Linked DNA regions of Nothobranchius furzeri. The protein of the gene in region 2 interacts with the protein of the main gene of each other region in a biochemical or structural test. Links are inferred from orthologs where the notes say so. Each region holds a gene or a part of one and is shown on either strand. Other genes may lie near its edges.

Region 1 (3,756 bases), on a different chromosome or scaffold from region 2:
CACTAAACAGAAACTCTCGTTTTGACGTTGCATCCTAAAACAAACCTGGACCGACTCCAGACAGCAGACTTGCTGCTATTTAATCGCTGCTTGCTTGGAAAGAAGACGAGATCAGCTGGCTGCAGCTAAAAAAACGTGGTTAATTCTTTCCGGAGATAAGTCACCTAAACACTCATCAGATCACATGCTTTTGGAGATAACTCAAGAGTTCTGCTGACATATAATAAATCGAGTTTTTTTTCCAACAAACACGGACAGATTTCAAATGGTATTATATGATGACTAACACTGATCTCCCATCACTTATTTTAAGCTGCTGGGACAATAATAATAATAATAATAATAATAATAATAATAACAATAATAATAATAATAAGGCTTTGACGTGCTGGAGGGACTGATAAGTTGTAGAGGAAGTAGCTTAGTTTCACTAATTGCAGTCTTGATTCTGGGATGCTCCCTGTCACGCTGTCAGTGGAACGCCCTGGCAAAAATAAGACTGGTAAAGAGGAGGAAGAAGAGACTGGCAACAGCTAAGTGAGAATGGGATCATAATATCCTCGGGGCACAACAGGAGTTGTCAGAGTTTAGACTCAACCAGGAGCCACAACCGTACGGTGCCCTCTTCCAGGTGGATTTCAGGCTAAATTAACAACTTTTGGCAAACAGTCAATTCCACCCAACCCTGAAGCTACTGGCTTACTCAGTGTTCACCAGACACACTATACATCTCCGTGTGTACATTTCTCTGAAGGTAAATGCCAAAGTGTTGTCATTGAGCACTGCACCCAATATGAACTTTCTTTAAATTTAGATTTTGGCACAGATCTGACCTTGTGCTTCACAACACACAAACAAACCCAAGAGTTAAGTAAGCTCAAGTAAGTCTCCAACGAACTCGGTGGAAAACTTCCTCCAAGTTGGAAAAGATACATTTCTCAAATTAAGGGGTCGATATCTCAATATCTTATTCAGAAGTGATGATAGCATGGAGCTTCATCTGGAGAAACACACACTCTACCCCAGCGTGTGGTGGTAACGAAGAAGCTGAGTCAAAAAGCTAAACTTTCCATTTACTGGTCCCTCCAGATTCATGTTTTCATTTGTGATTTTTACTTGTGAGATTTGGATCATGACTCAAAGAACAAGATCCCATAAACAAAGTGGTGAAACTGGCTTTCTAGTCAACAGCTTTACTGGCCTCAGCTTTAACTATAAGGCGGGGAGCTCATTAAAGAGGACACAAAACCAGAATCTGCTGGACCAACGACAGATCTCCCAGAGCCTGGTAGAGCCTCGGAATACCACAGGATTTTCCAAAGAATGACAGAATGATGGAGCGAGAAACAAATGAAAATGTGAATGGCAGATGCTAATTAATACTATGATTACTCGAAATTAAAATACATATAAGCTACAAATTTATGGCATATCCACATATCACAAATGATTATGGTTTATGTTAAAGTGCCAGAGGCCAGAGAGGGAAGTCAGATTATCAGGAGTGAATCAGAACGCAAATGGCTGTCAAATAATAAACCTTTCAGCAGTGATTTAAGAACGTTCAAAAAGCAGCTGAAACTGAAAAATGTAGTTTACATTCAGATTTTCTACAGAAAACTACTTATTCCAGACGTGTTTCCCTCTCAGATTCATATTGAAAACAGTTTTTGGTTAGTTAAAATAGCTTTCACTATTTATTGTTGTAAAATTTTTAACGACCAAGACTAAAATGTAAAACGCAACAGATGTTTTTGTACTTGCTGTAACCCGTAAAAAAACACCAATTTCAGAAAAATTCATTTCGGTGACTGTCATGGTAACATTCCATTTTTCCTCAGTAAATTGTAGTCGTGTCAGGCTTCCTCTCACTAGTAGTCTTGATTTTATTCACAAGTTATGTTGAAATCAAGCAACGTCTTGACATAAGTTGGTGACGCGGTTAATGCTCCTAATCTCGGGTAATATTTAAAAGCGGGGCTTCGTAATAGACACAAAACTGATAAAAATTCAGTGAGCTGGCAGATTCGTGATGCTAATGTAAGCTAGCCGCTAGCCGTGTTACCTGACAGACTGGTGAACAACAAGGACGCCGCTTTCAGACTCTGTTGGCTCCGCTGATAAACTCCCCGGAGGATTTTCTTCTGTCGCCGCGGAGCTGCAGATGTCGGGCTGTCAGAGACTATCGGCTCCACAAAAGAGTAATTAAAATACCGCCGATGTTAAAAGCCGGTAGCCGTGTTCCTGTTTGCATACGTTGGCAGAGAAATGCATCATGGGTAAAGCTTTCTTTGTGATCTTTTACATCGGAAGTGCGTTTAAAGTGCGCGCTACTGCCCCCTGTCAGGATAGATTGTTACTACTTTTGCTCTTGAAACAAAAAACACAAGAATAACAGATATTAGACGTCATAGATGTAATAGTAGCGACAATAATGATGGTGAAGCACTTTTCAAGATAAAAATCACAAAGCGCTGCACAAGCACATTAGAATAATTGAAAAGACAACAATGAAGGTTTTAAAAAAATTAAAATCAAGAAAACCTGACAATACAGAAATGAAAGAAATAAACGATTGGAGCTCGAATAAAAAACGTGACTAAACATCAAGTTTTTCAAAATGTGATTGTTTCATTACTAAACTACTCTATTTAGATACTGCTAATCAAATGCAAACTCTTTTTACAGTGCATTGATATGGAGCTATAGCTACAACATAATAACAGCACAGCTTCATGCAACGACTGCATTATGTTTCAAAGGAAAAATGATTGTGACTGATGATAATGATAAGAACCTGAAACAGGATGTAACTTTACACAGCGGCAGGTTAAATGAAAGACAGCCAAGTCAAAGTCAAAATAAGACACATTCAGAACACAGTGCATTATGTGAAATGAGATTTACTGCAGCTTTTGTGGCATGCTGTCCACCTGCCACAATCACAATGTCCCCCAAGGTGTCTAATAAATAAATAAAGAATGAGACGGGGCATGGGAAGTCAGGTTTCATTGAAGGAGATCTAGTTTTTCCGACTCAACAGATGCTGCTGCAGCTCAAATTGCTAAATGGCCTAATGTTGCCTCTGATAGACAAGTGCTTAATCACACTGCACATAGCGGTTTATTGCACAAAACTTCACAGGTCTAGCTGAGTCCATACCTGACCAGGTGAGGGTTTGGGTGTAAGGATGAGCCAAAATAAGGTCAGCTATAGCAAACTCAGTTGTAACATTGAACCTGGTCAGTGTAGAACCAAATTCAAGTTTTTGTTTTATCAAAATATCATAAGAAATACTCTTTTGATGAAGCATTTTTTCTAATTATCTTCTGCAAAACAATCAGCATAAGCACACAAATTGATTATATCCTTCTCATGACCTATGACTGACCAGAGCCTAATCCATGGAAATCACAATCCATTCAAATAAACTCTGCAGACATGAACTTATGAACTTATGTCATTTTTACATAATTACGAATAACACAGTAGAAGATGATCATAATAAACAAGTCATTAAGTCAGGTCAAGTCAAGGCAAATTTTATTGATATAGCACATTTTCATGGCAACAGCCATTGCCTCAAAGTGATGCACAGATAAGAACAATGCACAAACATAAAAGACACAAAGCATAAAAGAAGCAATAAAAAAACTGAAAAACAGTCATAAAATTTGAAAGCCTAAGACACATAAAACAGATTACGCATTGCAACACTCCAGGTGAGAAGATATAACATGAATTAAGGTTACAAAA
Region 2 (2,777 bases):
AACAACCATGGATGTGCGCCCCTTTGCTTTGACCTGATACAGGTTAAGATGGTCGGTTCAAAATCAGACAACTCAAATCAACATCTAGTGGGAGGGGGTGGGGGAGTTTAGTTAACAGATTTAGTGGTGGTGGGGCTTCCACCCTTGCTCTTCCTTTGCCGTATGAAAACCATGCCCGTGCCTGGAGGGTGGGGGGTGAAGGGGGTCGTGCAAGACTGAGAGTGGAGGCAGACCGGGCGGTGGGTTGGGGGCAGGAATGAGGTTGGTGAATGGGGGTGGGGGGCTTGAAAACCAGACTGCTGATTCCACAGGTGTGTAAAAGGCACGCCGGGATTCCTCCTAATCCCAGCCAACACACACACACACCTTCACACCCACACTCTCTGAACACACAACACACACACACTCTCACACACTCACACACATGAGCAGCACAAGCTCGAGCCCCGAGAGGATGGACGAGAAGGGAAAGCAGGAAAAGCATGAAAGCGCTGGATCAGAACTAGGTCAGATGGGAGCAGGGGGGCCTGGGTCTGGTGCTGCCGCTGTGTTGAAACAAAAAAAATTAACAACAAACAAAAACCCAAATAGGTGGAATGGATCATTTCTGGTTCTTGAGCTGGTTGGAGAGCCAGTCCAGACCCTCGTAGAGACCGTCCCCACTGGTGGCACAGGTGGCCTGGATGTACCAACTGCGCTGGCGCAGAGCGTGTAGGCCCAGTTTGTCTGTGATCTCTGCAGCATTCATGGCGTTGGGGAGATCCTGGGAAGAGCAGGTGAACATCATCAACGATATCTGAAAGCTGACATTCTTAAATACAAAACACAAATGAGCTCTTTAATACAGTAAAACCAATCTTTAGTCTATAGTAGCTAAACACTCCTGGATAGTCCTACCTGTTTATTTGCAAAAACAAGCAGCACAGCGTCTCTGAGCTCGTCCTCTGCAAGCATTCTGGAAAGCTCCTCTCTCGCCTCATTCACTCGCTCCCTGTCATTGCTGTCCACCACAAAAATAAGCCCTGAAAGCAAAAACACACCAAGTTAATGTGTGAGCAGATAACATGTTTGTGTTTCAGCATGTGTCCTGGTTGGAGGGGGCTTCTGAGACCACTGTTAATAATTAACAAGGGCTGAAACATCAAATGGTTAGAATCAATAAAGGAATACTTTGCAACTTTCAAAGTTTTAAATCATTTTCTTGAGCCAGTACGTGCCAAAATGACCCTTTACTGGGTTAATGAAAGGCCACCCAGCCCCTATTGCCCCCTGTGGCCAGAAGATCACACTTGCAACATCAGTTTCTGGTCTTGTCCGTTAGGACTTAAAAAATTGAACTAACCTACCTGGCACTGCAGACTGGTTCCAGAACATTTCCTAAATGTTGTAGATCATGAACAAAGCCGATTTGTTTAATTTAGTAATGAATCACCCCTCTAGACACTTAGGAATGCTGGGAGACACTTCAGTTGTGAGATTAAAGGGATAAAAAGACAAATGCAGACCGAGGAGATAGGTTCTGGTTTCATTTCTACAAATGGACACTAGGGGGGCAAAAGCAAGTAAACTCCTTAATTTTGTACTGATTCAAAGCGTTAAATGTGCACACCACAGTCTGAGCACATTTCACTGGCACACAATGTGGTAAAAAGGTGGAGGCAGTCCTTCCCATGTTAAAGACAAAAACAGCCTAAAGTTTGGGATAAAGAGTTAAACTACGGGAAGACTGGCTAATGCTAAGCTAGCATGAAAGACGCTCACGATGAAGTGGAGATCAGGGAAAAAAAGCGTGATGGTAGCGAATCTACAAGCAGAAGAAAAATCTCCACTATCCCATTTATTTGTGGACGTCTGCAGCTGCAGCGGTGTGGGGCAGAACCGCTGCAGCTGCTACCCAGAGTCAGGTTGTTGCTGCTGAGTCAGTGACTCAAGTGCTCCACACACCACAGCAGACTATGACAAGCCGTTGTAGCATGTAATTCATAAAAACCTCTATATTTGAATACAATTTAGTAGGGATGTGAGAAAATATCGATATGGCAAAATATCGTGATTTTTTTCCTGCAATATTATATCGATATTCTAAAGCCGTGTATCTAATTCTTGAAAGAATTTACATGCAAAACATTTGTGTATTTTCTTTTCGTTTTGTGCAATTCAATCACCACCCGCTAGTTGGCAGCAGTGTGCAATGGGTTTTGTTTCCACCACTGAAATGTAAATCCCTCCATCATGGTTCAGATACCTCATGTTAAACATGTTACGTATCAGTTTGGACTGTTTATTGAACATTCTTACAACAAATTCAGTAAAAAAAATTGCGTGTAACGTCTGACTGAATGCATCGCAATATATCGTATCGTCTCCCCTGTATCGTGATATGTATCGCCAAAATTTAAAAAATACACATCCCTGCAATTTAGACTGGATTATATTGCCAACCAGTACATAATACAATTAGTGCTGCCATGACTAGTTAACGCGTCACGATGACGTCAGCAAACAAAATAGTCAATAAATGTAATAGTCAACTAGTCGTTTATTCCATGAGCATTTTTTAAATCTCGCCTGCTCCGTCTTTCTCCTCGAGTCACATGTGCAGTAGTCACGTCCGGGTCAGTCGCCACTTTTTCCTAGAGGCACATGCGATCCAGATCAGCATTTGAATCAGAAACACAGAAGAAACAAGATATCATGGCGCGCCGGCAGCGTAGCTCAAAGGTTTGGAAGCATTTTACAAAAACAAACGAGAAGCATGTAGAGTGCTAAATCTGCTA
Region 3 (3,656 bases), on a different chromosome or scaffold from region 2:
GGACCGACTGCAGGGCCAACGCCTCCGACTGGCTCGTCAGCCGAGACTGGAAGACAAAATGTTAGTGTGGACATCTTTAGTCCAGGGGTCATTATTTTCAGGGTGTCCATTGGGGGGGGGGGGGGGGGGTGTCAGGTGACTCAGGAGTGTTTCAGTTTTAACCTGCACCTGTACAGCTCACCCCCGTCTACTGGCTGGAACAAAACACAGAAACAAGCCTGAAGATGTTCTGGAGGACAGCAAAACCTAGGAGAACCTTCAGCTCAGGATGTTCTCTTGACTGGACCTTTACTCTGGCTTTCTACCAGTTAGACCTTCAAAATGATCCAAAGCAGCAGCTGATAACCAGAACCATTAGGATCAGTAGAACCTGGACCTACCTTGTTCTTGCTGCTCTCACACGACTGCAGGCTGGCCAGGATCTGGCCCTCAATCACCTGGACCCAGGCGTCCCGCTCCTCGTACGAAGTGGCCTCGAAGTTCCACGTCTGCCCCGTCAGAGAAACGATGATGAACTCAAAGTTCTCCTCTTGTTCTGCTGGAGAGAAAATTCACATCTGGGTCAGACAGAACCGGGACCCAGTCCCAGTCTGAAACCACAACCAAAATATAAACATTTGAGAAGAAAGCTGAGAAAAAGATAAATGTTTTTAAATAAAAATCCTTTTGTCTCACTACTCATTAGGGGTGGTGAGATGCTTGTAGGACTAGAACCGTTAAAATGTTAATTAATCAATAAAATTAAAATAGGAAGCTCCTGGAAAACCAAAATAAACTCAAGAGAAAGGATTGAAGCCGATTCTCTAGATCCAGCTCAGCCCTGCAGGCCCTACGGCCCCATCATAATTAAACTCCCATGATTCTCTGTTCTCGGGGGGTGGGGTGGGGGTGCAATTATGGGAACCAACAATCCAGAAAGGCCTTGTCCATCTGAGCCACAAATTAAACGCTGTTTCTGATTTAAACGCTGACCCGGCGCTGCAGCAGCTAATGAATACAAGGGGTGGTGTATGTGTGTGGCTGGGGGGGCAACCTGGACTCAGATCCGACAGGAACGAGTGAAACAACGTGACATTTAAAGCTGCACTCATCAGATTTTAACATTAAAGGTCACTTCAATAAGTTTCCTGCAGTTTTTCAGCCAGTGGTTTGATTCCCGAGGCTCCATCACTTCCTGTTTTTGTTCTGAGCAGAACAAACACTCAGACTGACAAGGGCGGCGGCGGAACCAGGTCCACCTTCCAGGAACCAGAATCTGAGCTCAGATAGGACGAGCAGGACATTGGGACACCAACAGAACTCTTGTTGTGAAAAATTGGCATCATAATAATTAAACACATCTGAAGTTACACCTGCAGGTTATTCTGCTGCCCCCTGGTGGCCATCAGCATCATCTACAGGAATAACAGCTTTTATTTTTAACATAAAGAAATCAGTTTTAACGGGTAAAAAGACAAAAAAAGGATAAAAATGTTTCTGTTTCATCTGGTAAAACAACAAAAATTATATTCCAAACACCATATTTTTTTAAATAAGACATCAAATTACCAGGAAGCTATTCAACATTTGAAATAAGATAATAAATGATTAAATAGTTAAAAATTATTAATAAAAACCTGAATTTAAAGGCTGTTAGCACCAAAACACAAAGAGTTTTCTCTCAGGCCTTAGGAGAATATTTGTGTTTGTTTTGTGTTTAAATGGGTTTCCTCATTGTTGCTGTACACACACACACACACACACACACACACACTGAGCGATGCAATGGTAATTACTGCCACCGCTCTCGGCTACTGTTGCTGACATTCGCGTAGAGAGAGGTGTGCAGAGGCAATTTGTGAACTCTGACACCGGCAACCTTTAGCAGCACAAACAGAACCAACCAAACCTCGAACATTTACAGCAGGCGGGCGGGTGGGCCGCCAACACGGGCCGATCACCGAGAGCGCCGGGCCCAAACGGTGCCGTGAGAGGGGAGGAGTGAGGCGGGCAGACGGGGGAACAGGAAACACAAATTAAATGCCTTAAATGTCACCGCACACAGGATTGCTTTGAGACACAGGTCATTACTCCTCATATTATTCAAGGCATCTTACAACATTAATAACCTGGAAAATGTTCCCAGGTTCTGGATGAGGTCTGGATTTGTTCCCAAATCTGCAGGAGGAGGAGGCTTGCTGCAGGTCTAGCTGGCAACTTGGTGTCACCATCCCCAGAACCAGCACACAACACCAGCCAGCACTGGAAAACGTAAAGTACAGGCAGGGTTCTGGTGCAGGAAACACACATGGTTACAGGCAGAGGCTGATGAACTCAGCTAAACCCAGATTAGTGCAAATAAAGCAGATAAACAAAAGTTAAACAGGTCTAGTCCCAGAGGGATCCAGGTCTAAACCTACAGGGATCCAGGTCTAGTCCTGCAGGGATCCAGGTATAGAACCACAGGGATCCTGGTCTAGACCCAGAGAGATCCACAGGGATCCTCGTCTAAACCCACAGGGAACCAGGCCTTGTATTTCAGGGATCCTGGTCTAAACCCACAAGGACCCTGGTCCAGTCCCAGAGGGACTCACGTCTAGAACCACAGGAATTCATGTCTAAACCCACAGGGATCTAGGTCTAGACCTACAGGGATACAGGTCTAGTCCCAGAGGGATCCAGGTCTAAACCCACAGGGATCCAGGTCTAGACCTACAGGGACCCAGGTCTAAACTCACAAGGATCCTGGTCCAGTCCCAGATGGATTAAGGTCTAGAACCACAGGGATGCAGGTGTAAACCCACAGGGATCCAAGTCCAGACCCACAGGGATCCTTGTCTAAACCCACAAGGAATCAGGTCTAGACCCGCAGGGATCCAGGTCTAGACCCACAGAGATCCAGGTCTAGACCCACAGGGATCCAGGTCTAAACCCACAGGGATCCAGGTCAAAACCCACAGGGATCCAGGTCTAAACCCACAGGGATCCAGGTCTAAACACACAGGGATCCAGGTCTAGACCCACAGAGATCCAGGTCTAAACCCACAGGAATCCAGGTCTAAACCCACAGGAATCCAGGTCTAAACCCACAGGGATCCAGGTCTAAACCCCCAGGGATCCAGGTCTAGACCCACAGAGATCCAGGTCTAGACCCACAGGGATCCAGGTCTAAACCCACAGGGATCCAGGTCTAGACCCACAGAGATCCAAGTCTAGACCCACAGAGATCCAGGTATAGACCCACAGGGATCCAGGTCTAGACCCACAGGGATCCAGGTCTAGTCCTGCAGGGATCCAGGCATAGAACCACAGGGATCCTGGTCTAGACCCAGAGAGATCCACAGGGATCCTCGTCTAAACCCACAGGGAACCAGGCCTTGTATTTCAGGGATCCTGGTCTAAACCCACAAGGACCCTGGTCCAGTCCCAGAGGGACTCACGTCTAGAACCACAGGAATTCATGTCTAAACCCACAGGGATCTAGGTCTAGACCTACAGGGATACAGGTCTAGTCCCAGAGGGATCCAGGTCTAAACCCACAGGGATCCAGGTCTAGACCTACAGGGACCCAGGTCTAAACTCACAAGGATCCTGGTCCAGTCCCAGATGGATTAAGGTCTAGAACCACAGGGATGCAGGTGTAAACCCACAGGGATCCAAGTCCAGACCCACAGGGA

The links.
Region 1: the proteins of arf2b (region 2) and arfgap1 form a complex in vitro, tested with the Homo sapiens proteins (2 studies listed by BioGRID, with this or other methods). The link is inferred for Nothobranchius furzeri from reciprocal best matches to the Homo sapiens genes ARF1 and ARFGAP1.
Region 3: of the proteins of arf2b (region 2) and agap1, one has a biochemical effect on the other in vitro, tested with the Homo sapiens proteins (2 studies listed by BioGRID, with this or other methods). The link is inferred for Nothobranchius furzeri from reciprocal best matches to the Homo sapiens genes ARF1 and AGAP1.

The regions. Positions count from the first base shown.
Region 1 is NC_091743.1:50,659,405-50,663,160, reverse strand, and holds the start of arfgap1 (ADP-ribosylation factor GTPase-activating protein 1), read right to left. Parts: upstream 2,248-3,756; 5' UTR 2,066-2,247; intron 1-2,065. UniProt on the Homo sapiens protein: GTPase-activating protein (GAP) for the ADP ribosylation factor 1 (ARF1). Involved in membrane trafficking and /or vesicle transport.
Region 2 is NC_091756.1:54,229,960-54,232,736, reverse strand, and holds the end of arf2b (ADP-ribosylation factor 2b), read right to left. Parts: intron 1,023-2,777; coding exon 898-1,022; intron 764-897; coding exon 602-763; 3' UTR 570-601; downstream 1-569. UniProt on the Homo sapiens protein: Small GTPase involved in protein trafficking between different compartments. Modulates vesicle budding and uncoating within the Golgi complex. In its GTP-bound form, triggers the recruitment of coatomer proteins to the Golgi membrane.
Region 3 is NC_091743.1:81,941,664-81,945,319, forward strand, and holds part of agap1 (arf-GAP with GTPase, ANK repeat and PH domain-containing protein 1), read right to left. Parts: intron 539-3,656; coding exon 381-538; intron 47-380; coding exon 1-46. UniProt on the Homo sapiens protein: GTPase-activating protein for ARF1 and, to a lesser extent, ARF5. Directly and specifically regulates the adapter protein 3 (AP-3)-dependent trafficking of proteins in the endosomal-lysosomal system.